5 linked regions of the Danio rerio genome follow. The protein of the gene in region 4 purifies or fractionates together with the protein of the main gene of each other region. This does not show direct contact. Links are inferred from orthologs where the notes say so. Each region holds a gene or a part of one and is shown on either strand. Other genes may lie near its edges.

Region 1 (4,113 bases), on a different chromosome or scaffold from region 4:
CCAAATTTCTGTCAAATTGTACTTGTAATAAACCCTAATGACTGTAAAAGAACGAGCCCCAATTCCCTAGATCAGTGGTTCTTAGACTTTTTTCACCAAGTACCACCTCAATTAAAAATTCTTCCCAAGTACCACCATAATGACCAGTATTGAAATACAGTAGTGTAGTAGGCCTAATTAAGCAGCTACAGCACTGCACAATTCAAAAGCGTGGCAGATTAATTCTGATTATTATTATGAATATTTGTTATTTTCAGCCATATTAAACATCATAAGTAGTTTGAACATTAACACTGTGCTGTTGAACTGTGCGTTCAAAAGCTAATCAAAAACGGCACTGTTTTTAAAAAGTAAAGAGAAAACTGCTGTACCTAAATGTAAAGTATTATCATAAAGTATCCTAAATTTTGAAATATATGATGCATGTATATATGACTTTGTAAATCTTTGAAATCTAAATGTTAACTTGTATTTTAGATATATGAATTGGATTTGCATATTTAAATAAAAAATGAGTTTGCCCACTGCACGTTAGAGTAGGTTATGTGTGTCAGTAAAGCAAGTGATTAAACTATACCTGTGAACATTGGGATATAAAAATATGGGATAAGCCCCTACAACTGTTACAAATATGGAGAGGAAATTAGCTTTAAATGATAGAATACATAACAAACATTAGAAAATTGAAAATAAAATGAAAGGTTTATCCTATTAAAATCAATTTACTGATCACATCGGCGTTATCGTACGCGTCAAAGGGTTAAAAGTGTGCTCATTTTTACTTTAATTATTCAGCGATTCCTCCGTGTACCACTAGAAGGAAGCCTGCATACACGTACCACAGTTTGAGAACTACTGCCCTAGATAAAGTGTAAAACATCACATTACGCGTTTTTCTGTAGTCTATTGTAAGGAAAAAGCTTAATGTAGCTTAATGTACCTTAACAACAAGGTACATCTAATTAAAATCTAATTTCTAAAATAAAATCTAATTTCTATCAAATTTTACTTGTGATTAACACTTTCTGATGTCAAAAAAATGAGCTCTAATTTTAGTAAGTGAAAAGGATCACGTTATGCGTTTTTCAAATCCATTATAAAAGGAAAGAGCTTAACATGGCTTAACGTACCTCAACAAGAGCACACCAAAAATCTATGAAATTTCACTTGTAATTATCTTTAACTACTAGCAAAAGATCAAGTCCTGATTCTGTGGATGAAGTTAATTGATCAATGTGACATTAAAACGTTTTATCCCCATTGAAATCCATTATAAGACCTTAATGAGGTTTAACTTAATAACATTGAGACAATCAAATGTATATAAAAATATACTCATAAACACTTTCTTCTGTTAAAAGAACAAACTTTTATTTTAGTATACTGTATCAAGTGAACAATATCACTAAACGTTCTCTCTGTAAAAGTCCATTATAAGGAAACAGCTTAACCTGGCTTAACGTACCTTAACACTGACCAGGAAAACCCAAATTTGTCAAACTTTACTAGTGATTAACACTAACTATTGTCTAAAGAACAGGCCCTAATTCCATAGATAAAGTGAACAATATCACGTTAAGTGTTTTCCTCCCATCGAAGTCCATAATAAGAAAAGGTTGAACGTGACTTTACAACAACAACCAAGAGAAACTAAATGTTACCCACTTGTTGTTAAGGTACATTAGCCATGTTAAGCTTTTTCCTTATAATAGACTTCAGAAAAATGGTTATTGTGATGTCTTACATTTTATCTAGGGAATTGGGACTCATTGATTTTACAGTCATTAGGGTTAATTACAAGTAAAGCTCGACAGAAATGTGGGTTTCTCTGGTTGATGTTCAAGTACATTAAGCCACGTTAAACGTTTTAGAATGTCCCTCTGCAAATATTGAGGTAAAGTTTGTTTTATATTCACACATTTGAGACTTTAGTCTTCCAAATATAACTTCAGAAAAGTATTTTTGAAAATTCTTAATAGGGAAATTATATTATAGCCAATGACTATCAATGTACAGCGTCGTTCACAGTCAATAAATGTGCTAATGTCGTTTTGAATCATAATCCCATGCCTCACAGCCATTATTGAAAGTAGACAGTCACAATTTGCCACTGGTCAAAAACTAACGAATGTGCAAATATAAAACCAACTTTACCTCACTTCTGCAAATTAGGGATAGAGATGACATCGTCTTTTCCAAATATGCAGACTGCATTTTTACTGCAGACACAAAGCAGTGTATATGGCAATTTGTTTAGACTCAGTCTTTCTTACTGAGCCAGCAATTTGTAATCCTCGCACCCAGTTTATGAACGTGTCCTAGACTCCCGTGGATTAAAAAAACTATAGCCACACACTTTCAAAGCGTTTGTTAATGGTTGATATTTTAGCATTTTTTTCTGAACAGCAGCCTAATTCCATAATCTCGATACTTCATCCACAGCTACAATATCAGGAGTGTTTGGAAAATCTCTAATGACAGTACTCAAAATAAGTTAATGACTATTCACTGATGAAAGCAGTTCATTCGCACAGTCTTGTTAACGTATAATACAGTATAAAGAGTTTATTCACCTCCCTGGCTCTTCTGCACCCGTTCTGGCATCAACTTCACTTCGTCATACAGAGATTTATACATCTCATGCAGCTTTTCAAACTCCTCTGAAGACATAGTGGAACAAACGAAGTCTAAAGCAAATAAACAAAATAAATGACAACAGAATAAAAGAGCGAAAATTTGAAGTCTGTTGTGGTACGAAACAATAGGGAAAAATCAGCTTCTCGGGCAATAACAAAATCCTCGGGACTGCAGCTCACGCTTCCGTGTTGGACCTCGTGATGATAGGCGGTCTTGATTTTGCCTGCAAACAAGAATGCAGATTAAAATCTTAAAGGCTGTTTTAAAATTTTAAACATCTAAAACAGCTCTATATTAATATGTGTATGCTTAATTAAAATTTTAATGCACTTCATTTTTGAAAAATGATACAAAAGTAGACTTCAATTAAACGTAGCAAATATGTAGACAGCTCGCATCATAAATACAGTGTGGGAGTTGTAGTTCATATTTTTAGGAAAACCCAAATTAATCTGTTTCGTAAATATAATCGTCGAACAATTAAAGTTTAGCTGACATAATAAATATTACCTACATATTTGCTATTCATTTACATAAATGACTTAATAGTACTATAATTCACTCTATAATATTTGATACGCTGTACGATAAAAACTATTCAGTTTCAATTTCACTTTAAATTATATTCATTTTGTTGTTTTCTATTTGTTGTTGCATACTGCAAACTTTCTCACACAAACACGCGAAGGAAAAAATACATTATTACTACATATCAATAATTAAAATAAGGCCCAACACATGTCAATAAAACAGCATGTAGTTTATTGCAAATATAATATTTAATAATAAAATATTTACAATCATTTTCAGCAACAAATTAATGACCATTCAGGAAACATTTTTGTGCAGGTGCAGACAATGAAAACTACAATCCCATCATTCCCCGGGAGCACAGCTGTAGATGTGAGTGGGAGGCTGCTGAACACATTCGGACGGACAGAGACAGACTGGAGTACAGTACAGTTACAGCAGCAGCAGCAGTGTCATGATGCTCGCGCTCGTGGCGTTCGCGGCGGGTTTAGGGCTCGTCGCGCTGATTTTAAGGCTGCTTTCTCCTCAGATCAGGTAAGTCATGTCGTTTATAGCATGAGAGATATGAAAATGACATTATGATATGATGAACGACTATACTAGCAATACATTCAATCTGTGGTGAAACGAGCACAGTGTCCAGTTGGGATGAAAACATGATGTAAAAGACTAAAGCAGAAACCACAGCCACCACTGAAGCGTACAGCCCCGTGCAGGGTCCTGTAATGGTATTAAACGATCACATCTGAACTCGAATTTCTACGTAATCTACATTACGTTACATTACGCATCAACAATGCTTTTATTATTTGGATGTAGAACGCGCTGGATATTGATTAAGGTTGTCCCGTTGCGGACCCGCCTCCACTTGACATGATCTGCTCCAGAAATCGACCAATAGAATGACAGTATAGGCGGAGCCACCCCGCCCCTCTGCTAACCGCG
Region 2 (4,080 bases), on a different chromosome or scaffold from region 4:
TCACTGGGAATACTCTCATTCACAGACATACACTATGGCCAATTTAGCTTATTCATTTCACCTGTACCAAATGTCTTTGGACTTGTGGGGGAAACTGGAGCACCCAGAGAGGAAACCCAGGCCAACACGTGGAGAACATGCAAACTCCACACAGAAATGCCAACTGACCTAGCTGAGGCTCAAACCAGTGACCTTCTTGCTGTGAAGCGATCGTATTTTAATAAATTTTAACATAAATTACATTAAATTGAGGTGAATGACAACAGAACATTATTTAATTTCATGAACGTTATCTAAAACCCGAAAGTAGACACTTGCATTTAGTGTTTTCTAATATGTATATAAATTAAATTTTTTTTGTTTATTTCATTTTTAATGCCGACACCAAAACTAGACATGTCAGACACATCAATTTATGATTTACTTCACTATCTATATGCCTTCTAGAGCTAATTTGTTTAGCATTGACTGCCATTATGACAAAACTGAATCTATTGTAAACGAAAACTACAATTATAAAGTGATGAATACAATGGGTAATGTTACCTGTCAAATATTGTGCTTCAGTGGCAGCACACCTTGTTTCCAAGGCACACCCAAACTTTGTTTCTATGCTCATGTGTTGCATAATTTAGTTTATATTTTACTACTTCCACTATTTTTGGTGCAACACGCAAGGTTAAAGGTTAAAGGCAAAAGCGCACGATGTTTAAACGCCATAAAAAATAACAGTCTGCTGTCAGTCTGCATGAAGTAAATCAGTCCAGCTCAAATACTAAACAAACTTAAATCCAACCAAAAGGCGGTATAATTCAATTTTATGAGGTAAAATATTGAAGTCTTAACTGTAGAAATGACCTTATCTATAACTAGCAATCTATATGATAGCAGACCTTAACCAATGACACATGCTTCAAGGCAAAAAAACAAGGTTACTAACACATGTAAGACGTCATTTATCTTTCATTATGACCCATGTATCGTTAATTGTACTCTATACTGAAATGAAAAATTAATCGTTGACACATACTGTACCTCGACTACTGTTTCCTCGTGCGGTCAGAGTCCAAGAAAAATGACAGCGCCGCTTAATATGACCCAGTGAACGCGCTATTTAGCCAATCGTAATACTGTCAAAGCTTAAATCCGTTTTCAAAAATAACTACACGCAATTCAACGAGGAAGACCAAACAATTAATCGCACGACTCACCCCACAGCGGAACCATTGACAGGAAGAAATCGTGAACAAATTCCCGTGACACCACCCGGAAGTGACGCGGACGTCAATAAGAAGCAGACACAAGCAACAGTGTGTAACGCAGCTCAGTTTATCGCTCTTTTAATCTTTTAAAACTAAAAATACAACATGTCTTCAGATTTTGAAGCGTACGAACAGGACTTTGGGACCCTCACCGCTGAAATAACCAACAAAATCGGACGAATACCCAAATTAGCCGGTGGTAAGTGGATGTTAGATGAGCTGCTTAGCCAAAACATTGGTGTTAGAGAGACATAAACAACTCGTTTAATCATTTATTTATGCAGCTTGTGTGTGTGGTCGGTGTATTATTTAGAAATGGCCCATATCATTTGGTAAAGAAGCTATAGTTCGGGATGGTCGTGGTGTCAGATGTCCAGTATCACATGAGTCTGAGGAGACAGGATTTAGGTGACATGGGTCTTGGATGTCATCTTGTTTTTCTTAGATTTATTAATGTTATATTGGAATTAAGGGTTTTTAAATAAATAAAAAAAGATTTATTTTTATATACCAACGTAGAAAAGAATACTATCGAGTGAGACTAAACTAATTCCTTCATGGTTTTTCAGTGTTGACAATTTAATTTACTGTTTGATTTTAAGCATTGTGATTGATTGGTTTATTGTTTCCTGCATAATGAATTATACTGACATAAAATGCCATAATGCACCAGTTATAGGAGGAGATAATAAAGCAAGTTTTGATAAAAATAAAATTTGTGTACACTTAGTCAGGAGGAGTCTTTAACTTTTTTCAGGCCAGAGCCTGCGAGATGAAGTGACATATTGCAGAGGTTTTTTTATTTTTAAATGCTGTGTGGGCCACCAAAACTTTGCCCTTATCTCTATGTTATACCTATTGTTAGGGTCAGGCTATTTCCAGCTCCAATTTATCATCTAGTAGACATTTACGTTAAACACAATAGCTGGAATGTACCTGTTATAATGTTACCTGTTATACATTTAATAGCTTTGGCTTCAAAATAAATACTTGAAAAGGACTGGGTGTTAAAAACAATATGGCAGAAAAATTTAATGTAAAGTTGGTAAAACTGCTATCAAGCTATCAAATATGGGAGATGGATAATTCACCTCACAGCCACACAATCTGTATGTACATCAGGTTTATTTTTAAATCTGACTTAAGTTATATATTGTTGTTCTCATAAGAACTATTAAAGACATGCAAAAAGACATTCAAGCTAAAACCATTCTAATAGTATGCAAAGCACAACAGCCGCCTGTTTTCCCATTTATTATATTTATAGATCATGGAAATTCAGGTTTAGTAAGTAAAAATCTGGGAATTTGGCTTTCAATGGGAACCCTGATGATTTATATTGATTAAATGTTATTTTAATTTTGCATTTTAATTGATCATTTATTATTTATTAACTTGTTTGTTAGAATTATTATTATTATTATTATTAAGCCTACATTTTCATGTTTGTATATTCAAAAATGCCTAACAAGATCTCAAACTGTTACAAATGCATATTCTTAAGATGCTGCTCACCATGCACACATTTTATAGTCATATTATTTCTCATTGTTATTAATTGTAATATTTATTATTATAATATTATTCTATAATATTTATTATAATATGTTTATTGTCATCAACAGTTATTGATGTTTAATTTTTTTGTGAGAATTATGCTTAATTTTTCTTAGAGTTTTTGTTTGAAAACATTTCATGAACAGCAATTATTTGACAATATATTTTTAAATACATTTTCTTTTCTGTTTAAGGTTACTATTGATTATTGTAAGGCCTCATTTGTGAATAAATGTTTTTTATACTGCATATACGCTTTTAAAAATGAAAAAGCATCTGAAACTCTTTTTGATATTAATAATAGGGAGAAGCATTATTTGATCACCAAATCAACATGCTAGAATAACTTCTAAAGGATCATGTGACTCTAAAGAGTGGATCAACAATGCTGAAATTTCACTTTGGCCTTCACGGAAATAGGTTACATTCAAAAATATTTTAGCATAGAAAACTGCTATTTTAATGTATAAGACTGTTTTTCAATATTAGTGAATTTACTGCATTTTCCAAATAAATGGAGCCTTGGAGAGCATATCAAAGACTGAAAATTCCAAATAGATGAAATATCAATATATTACAATGTGTTTTGGTTTTGTTTATATTTTGGTTTTTTTTTTCCCCATTTTCTCTAGTCTAAACCCAATCTGGTAGTCAAACAATTAATATTGGTGTCCCTGTAGTAACTTCATGGAGCCCCTAGAGGTCATGGATTCCTGATGTTTTTCTAACTTATTTGGACATCAGATGCTGTGTGTACTGCATAATATATAATGGATGTATGTGTTCATAGACTATAGGCAATTTCAATATCAATATCAATATGTCTGCACTAAACACAACTTCATCACAAATTTCTTACACTTAGGGTTGCAAGTTATTGTAAGTTGTCATCTGCATCTGTAAACCTACTGTCAATACACCTGTTGTTGTGTTGTGGTTTTATTGCTCAAGTCAGACAAACTTGTTTCCATGAGAACAATGTTATTATGAGATACAAATGATTGCAGATAAGTCAGAGCTCATTATTTAAAAATATCATCAACCTTGTATATATTTTGACTCATCTTTTTTGTCTTTTATAAATGCATCCAAAACAATATAGCCAATGTTAAACGTTAATATTTTCCTGAGTACTTTTACTATATATTCTACTATTTTGGTTATTTTTTACATTTGTTTATTAAAACACAGCTTTTTATTTTTCCAGTCTAGTTGGAAAAAGAACAGAACCAGTTATGATTAACAGTTTTATGTCCCTCTT
Region 3 (3,516 bases), on a different chromosome or scaffold from region 4:
TTCAAACTCACATTGTTAGCATTTAACACTGAATAAAGCACATGATTTGTACCTTAGGTGATTATTAACAGTTTTCTGTTGTTCACCTGTGAGAAATACAGTAGAAGTTGTTTCTAAAATAGAACTGTCAGGGGTTTGTTAGGACAAAAACTCATTTTAATATGGCAAATATTCTTTCTATCACGTGCCGTTGCTTTTATTTAAAACAAGATTTAAATCAGCCTTTAGGGTAGTCAGACTCGCTCCTATTGATGTCATCAAATCACAAACTGCGCTTGCGTGTGGTCATCAGAGCAGGGGCAGAGTGAAAATGTGTTTTGAACCAGGAGTGCAATCCCTAATTGAACCACTGGATGTCAAACTTACATATTCCACCTTTAGGGCTCTATTTCGACGGTCCATGCGCAGAGCGCAAAACGCAGGGCGCAAACGCTTTCAGGGCGTGTCAGGACGCGTTTTTGCTAATTTAAGGACGGGAAATCTGCCTTGCGCATGTTCTAAAAGGGTTGAGTTTATTTTCTTAATGAGTTATAGGTGTGTTTTGAGAATAAACCAATTAGAGTCTCATCTCCAATTCCCTTTAAGAGTCCGCTGCATCGCGCCAAGAGCGCATTTGCTATTTACAGGACGCAAAGTAAGTATAAGTGGAAAAAATGAGCACTTCACTAGTAAACAGTTAACAGTTTTTTAACCGAAAACTGTTAAACAGAGCATCTACTGCATGAGAATGAGAGATAATAGATCACTTTCACTGTCGCTCTTGGATAGGGAAACCTTTACGCACAGACATCAATTAGTCTATAAATAAATAATTTTGTTTGTTAAGCGCAAATATTCGTTTCAAAACTATTTCTAAATTCAGTTCTAATTTCCAGCAAACGAATAAATGAATAATAATAGCAAAATGTGCTCAAAAACCTGAGTTATATCCTCAAACACATGCTGTGCCCCATATGGTCTAAAACCTGACAGGTGGGCAAATCTAAGCTTGTTTTTAATAAAACAAATATAAATATGGATATAATAAATAATACTGCTAATAATAATAACATTATACAAAAGCAAATTGTTATGAATGAACTGAAAAAGCCTCCCGAGATAAAGAATATTTATGTAGGCTAGAAAATAATATGTTTTGTAATATTTTAATCCTTTATATTTATATTTTAAATCTATTCTTATTATATACTATATATATCCTTAATATTTAAATTTTTTCATATGTAAAGATATTTGCCTATTGCTCTCTTGTGCGTATTAAGCAGTGCGTAAGCGAGGCGCAACTCTGCACCGGAGTTTAGAACAGGTTAGTTTTGGTCTAATGAAAAATCTATTATAGTTTCTCAAATAGCAACGCGCCAGCGGTCCGCCTCAGAACGCCTTCCTTTTTAGACCAGAACGCATATGGACGCAAAAATGAGCGCTAATGCATTTGCTATTTAAACAGCGCAGCGCAACGCCTCAAAACGACTCTTGCGCCAAGCTGAAAACTACCAACAGACTACTGCGCCGCGTCTTGCGCCACACTGCGCCGGGTGTATGATAGGGCCCTTAATGTTAACTCTAATTAGCCTTCATACATTATTTGACCCTAAACTGAACCCAGGCATCCAACACCCTCATGAGCCTTTATTTTGATCAAAATAGACATCCAAAACACAGGATACAGTATGTATAATAAGTTGATTTAAAGGTCCCATTCAATGAAAAAAAAAGGTGTTAGTATAAGTATGTTAGTGGTAATGCTATCTATAAGCTAGTGTGCTCAAAAACAGTGATACAGTTTGCATGTAGTAGATACAAACATCCAAAGCTTGCAGTTTGTCACTTGGAACAACTTTTTTTAACCTTACCTCATACTTCAGTTCCTCATCAAATCTTTTAACCAATCAAATGCTCTCTACATGCCCTGCCTCCCTTCAAGATGCTTCTCATTTGCTTTTGATTTGATGCGCTTGATCTCAACCACTCTCACTGGCAGAGCTGTGATAGAACTAAACGCTATTGGCTATTTTTTTTTTTTAATAAGGAGCTACTATATGTCCCGCCCAGTCTTCATGTTTCAGAAAAATGCACAATTCAAAGCACTTCACGGAACCTTTAATGTGTATCTATTTTTTAAATGCATTAATACAATAGTAAAAGATCTGAAAGCTGAAATATTCATAGCTATTTTTATTTGAAAAGGAATGAAGGCTGGAGAATGCAGACAGAAGAGGAGCCTGTCACAGAAGAGGACCTTGAGCTTATTAAAGAAAGAGAGACCAATATCCGTCAGCTGGAGGTGAGCACACCTTACATACAAAAATCCAACATCACTAAACAACAACAATAAGAATAAGTAATGTCCTGAAGATTCATATGCATTCAAACACTTTTTTTAGTTTACTAATTTCTTACATAATTATTAAGACTATTGTGTTTATGGGAGTTGTCCGATTTTAAAGTATTATGTGCTATTTGCTTTCTGGTCTTGATTTAGTCAGACATTATGGATGTGAATCAAATCTTCAAGGACCTTGCTGTTATGATCCACGACCAGGGTGACATGATAGGTAGGTTAGTCTAGTTATTTCTAAACTGTTTTAAAAGGCATTTAAATTTCCACACAGTTATTTTGTTTTGTTGAACCCTGGTTTTGTCATGTCATGATACACAGATAGCATTGAAGCCAATGTAGAGAGTGCAGAGGTGCATGTGGAACGAGGGGCCGAACAGCTCCAGCATGCTGCATATTACCAGGTATGTTCACCATGGACATTTATATGACATTCATTTCTTTATATATACAGGGGTTGGACAATGACATTAAAACTCCTGGTTTAAGACCACAATAATTCATTAGTATTGTGAAGGGCCTCCTTTTGCAGCCTTATTCTAAAATGCGGAAGTGCGCCTGTTTTCGCGATTGTCTTAGAACTTCCGTTTCAGTCACCTATGGGAGAAATGACTAGGAATAATAAACGGCAAAAAACGGTCAAACTACTTGCTCTACAAACAAATGTTTGCATGACTATACAGACCAAGTAGAATAATATAACAAGGAAATATCAGTTTGCAACATCAAACAGCGAAACGAGCAATTTTTAATGTCTAAAAATGAATGGAAGTGAATGAGACCGGAAGTCTCGTGCCAAAAAGATTCAAATGGCAGCGCCCGCTCGTCTGCGTAGAATCAATACAGCATCAATTTGTTTTGGCAATGACTGATACAAGTCCTGCACAGTGGTTGGAGGGGATTTGAGCCATTCTTTTCGCAGAATAGCGACCTGGTCACTACTTTATGCTATTGGAGAAAATATTTCCTAACTCGCTCCTCCAAAAAACCCCAAAGTGACTCAATAATATTTAAATCTGGTGACTGTGCAGGCCATGGGAGATGTTCGACTTGCCTTTCATGTTCATCAAACCACTCTATCACCAATCCTGCTGTGTGTATTTTTGCATTACCATCTTGACAAACGGCATCGCCTTCAGGATACAATGTTTGAATCATTGGGTGCACATAGTCCCCCT
Region 4 (4,136 bases):
ATGTGGATGTTTCCCAGAGATGGGTTGCGGCTGGAAAGGTATCCGCTGCGTAAAAACTTGCTGGATAAGTTGGCAGTTCATTCCGCTGTGGCGACCCCGGATTAATAAAGGGACTAAGCCGACAAGAAAATGAATGAATGAATGACTAAGGCATGGGCCAATATAAGATTTTGACAGTATGATAACCTTGGATAAAAATATCATGGTTTCATGGTATCACGGTATTGTGATTACTGGTCTAAAATGTATATTTTTTAATGTCTAGGTATAAAAAAGGAAAGTTTTTCCTCTTTAAACACAATATATTTTATTTTGAGAAACATTTAAAATATCTTAAAACAGTAAACATGTCAGACTAAATAAATTACTGACTTCTGCTGTCTTCATTTGTTTTAAAAACAGATTTTTTTTTTTTTTTTTTTACAATTTAAAACAGCATCTTTGGATATTTGTTCTGCTGGAGATACTGCTCTCCTAAAAAAAATAAAAAAATAAATAAATAAATAAAAACATAAATGAAAAATTTTACTCATACCTTAAGAACAATATTGCAAAAAATTGTGATGGTTTTAAAACTTTGACTTTTCTAAACCACGGTATACCTTGAAAACAGATATCGTCCAATGCCTAACTTACTACTAGAACTAGAAACAAGACAAAAAGTCCAAGTCAAATGTTACATAAATCGTATTAATATTTAAATACAACTAATCTGTTACACCTCCAAACATCCTGTTTTTGTGCTGAAATATTTCAAACTCTCCTGAATTACACAGTTACAGGCCTTAAAACACATGTAATCAATAAACTTTGTTATGGTTTAACTCATGAGAGACAACAAATCACATGTGTTCTGTGGCTCGTGGTCAAGTATGATTCAACATTGTGACTATTGCGGAAGCGCACATTGCAATATCAATGCAGAAACTATATTTTGTGCAGCCTTAATAGCATCAGTTTAGTTTAAAAGAATCACTGCTCAACACATACAGTAACACAACACCAGAAACCATTAAAGCACTGCAATAAAGATACAATCATAGACTGTTTGGTTACTTAAATCAAATTGACTTTTTTTTTTTCATTGAGACCGTAAATTGGAATGACAAAAATAGGTCTAAATGACTTTCATTTTGTGATTTAAATCTTTTAAAATCTGTTTATTAATTATAATACTATAATAATTTAATAAAAAACTATGTGCAATAGTCAAGTGGATGGATGGATGGATGGATTAACGGATTAATTGATGAATGGATGAACTGACTGACGGATGGATGGATGGATGGATGGATGGATGGATGGATGGATGGATGGATGGATGGACGGACGGATGAATGGATGGATGGACTGATTGACTGATGAATAGATGGGACTCTGGACTACAAAACCAGTTATACGTGTCATTTTTAAAACTGAAATGTATACATCATCTGTAAGTTATGTAAATAGGCTTTTCCATTGATATATAGTTTGCTAGAATAGAGCAATATTTGCAAAGGTATGTGTGAATATCTGGAATCTGAAGAGTTAAAATAATAATGGAAAACTTTAAAACTGCTCAAATTAAGTTCTTCGATGCACATTATTACTTTTGATATAGGACATATACAAAATATTGTCATGGAACATGAGTTTATGAAATAAATATTTTTAACTCTGAACCAGACAAAAAAAAAATTTACTTTAACAACATAATACTGGTTTTCTCATCCAGGGTCGCAAATGCATCAATGGAATGGACAATCGTGTGGACTGGAAATGTTAACAAGGGAAACTGAAAGCAGAAATCTGTCCCTGCTGTTGTCAATACAAACCACCAGATCCACAATGAGCATGCTGACAGCAAACTGTTTACAGACATAACAAGTGACCCCACTGATTAAAACCTCCACATGCTTCATGTTGTCACGGAACAGCTCATAAACAAAACCAACAGGTTAGGCATCATTCCAGCATTTTCTTCATCGCTGCCACTAAATGATTTATATGAAAAGCACAGGTCAGCGAACAGCTAAAAGAAACACTGAGATCCCTCAAACATGATGGGGCTTACATAATTCAGGAAATTAGATAGCCTTGATTTTCTGTTTAAATAATAACTCAGTCTAAACTAATGACAATCACAAAATCACTGAGTAGAATAAAGAGAAGAACTAAACTGAAACGGATAGATTCAACATTCAGTGAACAATACGAGACTGGAACAAAACGGTTCATTCATTTGTCAAAACAGTACAGTGTAGATCTGGATTCAATGCCTATTTGGCTTTCAGAATGCTCACAATTTGCATTAAGAAACAGACAACTCCTAAACATACTCATTTTAGAGCAATAACAAATCAGTACATTACCGCTAATATCTAAATAAATTTAAAACAGGGCTAACTTAATCTTCCTGGCATGCATCTGCTACACAGAGCTTTATGCTAGTCAACCATGTAAACACTATGCTAATCGGAGATCGAAGCAAACGATAAGACGTGGTTTTATGGAAAAACGAAAAAGCGTGAAATTGAATAATCGTGTTTGCATGTCGATTAACGTTAGTGGAGGAATGGAAACACTGAATTGAAAACAGATGGCATGACAGCTAGCATGACGGCTAACACCTCTGTCATCACTGACCGCTACACAAACACATCCATGCAGGCCTCGAGAGCTGTTACTCCGGCTGGTGTACCTCAGAGATCCTGCTTTTGTCGATTAGTGTCTGGAGAAACCGCGTCGGTGTGTTTGTAATCCTGCTGATCTGTGTGTGATGGGATGCTGGGACGAGTCCTGAATGCTGTCTCTCGTTCGGCTCTGGAGCGGAAGCTAGAACAGCTGGACTAATTGTGTTTCCTGCAGACGCATCATCATCATTACCGTCATCACCACTAACATCATCATCTTTTGATAAAATACTACAACATCATCTTTCGAGGTAGTGTGATGTAACCTATACCTGGAAGAGAGTGATAAGTCATTGTTCATGTTTGCCAACAAACCAAAGTCTGTTAAATATTGTTTGCAGTTTTTTTTGACATTAGCAATGATTAACATTAGCAATGATTTTCTGTATTAAGGATTGTAACATATTGATACCTGTTGTTTTTGTGACAAACAAAATCAGTGACCTGTTTAAACAACGGTGCTACAACTAAATACAATTTTATAATATAAGCTCTTGAATGGTAAAAGTACAGTATATGTTAGAATTTCTGATTAAAATAATTCATTCATTCATTCATTTTCTTTTCGGCTCAGTTCGTTTATTAATCTGGAGTCGCCACAGCGGAATGAACTGCCAACCTCTCCAGCATTTGTTTTACACAGCGGATGCCCTTCCAGCGAGAGGGTGCTCACTGCAGAGCCATTTGAGGAGAGCTGAGCTCCAGCGAGGGGGAGCATGAGCTGTCGCTCCTCCTCCTGTAAGCTGTTTTAATGCGTACACCAACCCCACCCCTAACCCTACCCCCAGTGACATCACTCGTAGAAGAAGTGCAAAAAAGGTGGAGCTCAAGCTTAAGCTCCCCCTCGCTGGAGCTCAGCTCTCCTCAAATGCCTCTGCAGCGAACACCACTTGCTTCCAGCTGCAGTCCATCTCTGGGAAACATCCATACACACTCATTCACACACACACTCATACACTACGGACGATTTAGCCTACCCAATTAAACTGAACTGCATGTCTTTGAATTTGTGGGGGAAACCGGAGCACCCGGAGGAAACCCACACGAAAGCAGGAAGAACATGCAAACTCCACACAGAAATGCCAACTGACCCAGCCGAGGCTCGAACCAGGGACCTTCTTGCTGTGAGGCGACAGCACTACCTACTGCACCACTGCGTCGCCTGAAAAGATTTATAACTAGTTTAATTGTTATAATATGTTTTTTTTTCTATTCTATTCATTATTACAATATAGAGAATTATTATTATGTCTTTAGTATCGTCACTGATTGTTTTAGTAATATGGTTATATGATTTCTTGCAGAAGATATAACACTGACAACAAAAGTAAAGGCTGCTAACTGCTAAGTAAGTAAGCTGCTAAGTAAAACGCTTGGCAACATGTTTTGACGTGATTGATCATCATGAAACCAGTTCGAATCCAGCATCTGATGAACTTGTTCTTCTACAACTTTATGCTT
Region 5 (3,516 bases), on a different chromosome or scaffold from region 4:
TCAGTTTTAATCTCGTGGTCTGATTCATTGCTGAATAATCAATCTGACCCATCTCTTCCACCAACGCCGATTCTACATGCTGACAGCCCGACAGCACTCAATGGCCGACTGTCAACTTGCCGTGTCCCAGCCTTAAAACAAACACTGTTTAAGACCCTTGCTCTTTATTCTCCATCTTTTTGGACAACCAATCACAATCTATAAAATTAAATAAAAGTGTTTGTTTTTTCTTGGCTCAAAGTTGTTTTTAGCAAGAAATTTTTTTTATTTTTTAGTCCCTTTGGATAAAGGCATCTGCTAAATAAATAAATGTAGTAGCATGGTCAGAGGGTTTAACAAATGAACTCGAAGCTGCGATCCAGAATATTGGGAAATTTGATTCCCTAAACAAGATCTTTTAGTTTTTTTTTTTTTTTTTACTGCATCCTATACTTTTTTATGCTGAGGTTTACAAATTTACACAGGGTGATGCATGCATTCTCTTAGGAATGTAATTGTCTGACACTTTGTCTGGAGCTTTAACTAAAGTGAAAGGACAGAACGGCAAACAAGTCAAGAGAAGAAACATTTTTCGGATACTCCCATATTTATGTTTACTAATTTTGCATTAAAGGCAATCTAAATAACATATTAATTGACATAAAAGGGAAATTACTCAACTAATACAATATAAGCCTGAAAAAAAAAAATAATTTTAGAAAAAAAACTCACTTAGAAGATTTTGCATCCGAACTCTTCATATATTTTTTATTATTAATATATAATTGTATTGTTAAATGTATTTAATTATAAATTTCTTTTTTTTTTTTTTTTTTTTGATGAGGCAAATAAAAATCTTTTCCATCTGGGCCATTAAAAAAATCCTTAACTTTTAGCCCTTGAGTCTTAAATTTCATTCTTAATGGTCTTAAAAATGTCTTAAAAAGTCTTAAATTTAACTTGGTGAAACCGGCAGAACCCCGAGTAACACCTGTCCTTTTGTATCTGTTTATGATTCAAGAGTTCACACTTAGCTGATGATTGATTATTAAGCATGTTTGGCATGCTGTCCCAAGAGAGAGCCTTAAGCTCATAAGATCCTCGAGCCCAGGGCTCCCTCCCATTGCAAGGCGAGAGGGGAGTTTGAGCTCAGGTAGATCTTGAAAACTGTGATAACTAATCAACAGATGAAATTGCTCTCAAGAAAAAACTACTTACTAGGAGCATGTCTATGACATGTCTATCTAGGAGCACAGAGAGAACATGTAAACTCCACACAGAAATGTTGACTGGCTAAGTAAGGACCATTGACGTTCTTGCTGTGAGGCGACAGTGCCAACTATTGGGCCACTGTGCTGCCGATCTAAGAAAGGAGGAGTAGGGGTGGAAGGGGGGATTCTGTAAAATGAAGATGGCTGTGTTATGTTACTTAGGGTTTTTATAGAGACTAAAGAAATGTCTGATTGGTGAATCATGGATTGGCTAATGCATGACCAGCTGTGTTCAATAATAAGCATGTGATCCTCTCGAAGTTAGTTTATAAATAAACCCCACTTATTAATAAAATTTGAATGTTTAAGGGCCTAGATTATATAATGACATTAGTGTTCTCCCTCTTCAAAAGTAACACTGGTATGATATCCGTGCCATTGCTTTTTCTGTATGCCAAACGATTTGTTTCCTCAGGACCTTCAGGCACATCAAAGAGGCCTGGATGTTTGATGCTACTTGAACAGCTGTCGCTAGATGTCAATTTTACTGTGTTAGAGAATAAATTATTTTAAGATTCTTCATGCTTAGTTAGCCATCAGTGGAAAGATGTTTATTGTACCATTCTGATAAGATGCCTGCTAGAGAGCAAGACATCCTTGAAGTAGAGAAGTATTATTTGTGTATGCATGTGTGTGTGTGTGTGTGCGTGCGCGAGTTGTGAGAAACATCCTCCTGTTGTGTCTGATCTTTGTAGGCTTGACGCCAATGTAATCATTGAAGATATTGTTCTGAACTGTACGCACACATTTGGACATTTTATAAGTTTATCTGTGCTTCAACCAATCAGGTTAAAACTCCTATATGTATGACGCAGTTAGTGATGGGTAGAATTGTTGTTGATCTGAGTGTTGAAGCTGGCTCCTGCAGATAAAACTGCAAACTATCTCCAGTAAACTTTCTTTGATCAAATATTTGACTTTGGGGTCTTCTTCAACTGACAGACCAGTTGGTTCCCCAACACCCCCCAAAATACAAAGACAATCAAAGAAAGTGAAGATCAGACCACTTGTAAAAATGAAGCAGTACTGTCATCTAATCACTCATGTTTTGACTATTTTTTTAATCTCATCAGGATGATAAAGATCCCTTTACAGACACAAAAACTTCTATTTGCATCATGGATATGCAGATAACCCACTGATCTCACTCTTTCTGATAAAACAGTGGATTTATTAATCCCGGGATGCATACGAGTAAGCGTATGGGTTTTTCTATATACAGTTGAAGTCGGGTAATTAGCCAAGTCATAGTATAATGATGATTATACAATGTATAATTTATGATAAATGTTTAAAATGGAACCATTTAAAAAAAAAATTATATATATATATATATTACTGCTGTTTTATGGTAGGCATGGGTTCGCAGTTTGAAAAAGTCAAGGTTTTATATAATTTTCTTTTTAAGGTGTTTAGGCTGAGTAAATAGTGAGTAACTTTCAATTTATCCCTTTAAGGCCTTACATTGTGGAATGGTGAATAAGAAACTACTAAAAAATCCTAAATACACACTTAGGGCAAATTAAAGGTTTGTCATTTACAAGCACTTGAACTTGAGATTTAGTTTTACCTTCATGAGTTTGCATTCACGAGAATCTGAGAAGGCTGGAAACATTTCTTCGTATTTCTGAAGGGCAAGCTGCAAGGGGTGACATCAAAGACAAAAATAATGAGGGATTGAAAACAACACAACCGCTGTATGTCAGCTTGCCCTAAACAGTGTGATTCATACCTTAGCGTTCAGCATGTCAACACAGAAGTGACAGAGAGCAGCTTTAAAGAAATAGTCCTTTGCGCTGTATTTCAGTAAAGTGCTGTCCATAGCATGTGTTGCAACCTAGAAACCCAAACAAAGAAGCAGCTTGTCAACATTTTTCCTCAAAAATGCCTTTTCCCCTCCCCCGTAATAGTAATAATATTTGGGTATTTACACGCTTCATTGGCTATTACATGTCATAATATGTGACATATTAAACAATATTTAACAGCATACAAGGTCCTCACTCTTTCATGAAGTTTGTGAAATATTGTTCAAATGTGCATTATTTGTCATAGTTCTAGTACAAGATTTCAATTTAAGATTTTAAATTAATAAATTCTTTGTTTATTTATTCAGTTTTGATTGCTTAAATTAATAGTTTATGTTGTTATTTTATCACTTTTAAGTGTCTCCGTTTGTTTTTAAGTACTTTCCAGGGCTTAAATTCATGTCTGAAATTCAAGCACTTTCAAGAAGCGTAGAAGCCCCGAGTATAATACAAATGCA

Evidence for each region.
Region 1: the proteins of vamp4 (region 4) and vti1b purify together in Homo sapiens (affinity purification with mass spectrometry; 4 studies listed by BioGRID and IntAct, counting the BioPlex papers as one, with this or other methods). This does not show direct contact. The link is inferred for Danio rerio from reciprocal best matches to the Homo sapiens genes VAMP4 and VTI1B.
Region 2: the proteins of vamp4 (region 4) and vti1a purify together in Homo sapiens (affinity purification with mass spectrometry; 4 studies listed by BioGRID and IntAct, counting the BioPlex papers as one, with this or other methods). This does not show direct contact. The link is inferred for Danio rerio from reciprocal best matches to the Homo sapiens genes VAMP4 and VTI1A.
Region 3: the proteins of vamp4 (region 4) and stx12l purify together in Homo sapiens (affinity purification with mass spectrometry; 3 studies listed by BioGRID and IntAct, counting the BioPlex papers as one, with this or other methods). This does not show direct contact. The link is inferred for Danio rerio from reciprocal best matches to the Homo sapiens genes VAMP4 and STX12.
Region 5: the proteins of vamp4 (region 4) and napab purify together in Homo sapiens (affinity purification with mass spectrometry; 3 studies listed by BioGRID and IntAct, counting the BioPlex papers as one, with this or other methods). This does not show direct contact. The link is inferred for Danio rerio from reciprocal best matches to the Homo sapiens genes VAMP4 and NAPA.

Annotation. Positions count from the first base shown.
Region 1 is NC_133188.1:36,491,380-36,495,492, forward strand, and holds the start of vti1b (vesicle transport through interaction with t-SNAREs homolog 1B), read right to left. Parts: upstream 2,805-4,113; 5' UTR 2,671-2,804; coding exon 2,574-2,670; intron 1-2,573. Other genes in the region: rdh12 (retinol dehydrogenase 12), read left to right, coding at 3,623-3,702. UniProt on the Homo sapiens protein: V-SNARE that mediates vesicle transport pathways through interactions with t-SNAREs on the target membrane. These interactions are proposed to mediate aspects of the specificity of vesicle trafficking and to promote fusion of the lipid bilayers.
Region 2 is NC_133187.1:33,314,089-33,318,168, reverse strand, and holds the start of vti1a (vesicle transport through interaction with t-SNAREs homolog 1A), read left to right. Parts: upstream 1-1,266; 5' UTR 1,267-1,367; coding exon 1,368-1,461; intron 1,462-4,080. UniProt on the Homo sapiens protein: V-SNARE that mediates vesicle transport pathways through interactions with t-SNAREs on the target membrane. These interactions are proposed to mediate aspects of the specificity of vesicle trafficking and to promote fusion of the lipid bilayers.
Region 3 is NC_133191.1:7,967,132-7,970,647, forward strand, and holds part of stx12l (syntaxin-12), read left to right. Parts: intron 1-2,187; coding exon 2,188-2,284; intron 2,285-2,482; coding exon 2,483-2,555; intron 2,556-2,659; coding exon 2,660-2,742; intron 2,743-3,516. UniProt on the Homo sapiens protein: SNARE promoting fusion of transport vesicles with target membranes. Together with SNARE STX6, promotes movement of vesicles from endosomes to the cell membrane, and may therefore function in the endocytic recycling pathway.
Region 4 is NC_133195.1:16,222,318-16,226,453, reverse strand, and holds the start of vamp4 (vesicle-associated membrane protein 4), read right to left. Parts: upstream 2,808-4,136; 5' UTR 2,684-2,807; intron 1-2,683. UniProt on the Homo sapiens protein: Involved in the pathway that functions to remove an inhibitor (probably synaptotagmin-4) of calcium-triggered exocytosis during the maturation of secretory granules.
Region 5 is NC_133193.1:47,646,270-47,649,785, reverse strand, and holds part of napab (N-ethylmaleimide-sensitive factor attachment protein, alpha b), read right to left. Parts: intron 3,088-3,516; coding exon 2,983-3,087; intron 2,890-2,982; coding exon 2,821-2,889; intron 1-2,820. UniProt on the Homo sapiens protein: Required for vesicular transport between the endoplasmic reticulum and the Golgi apparatus. Together with GNA12 promotes CDH5 localization to plasma membrane.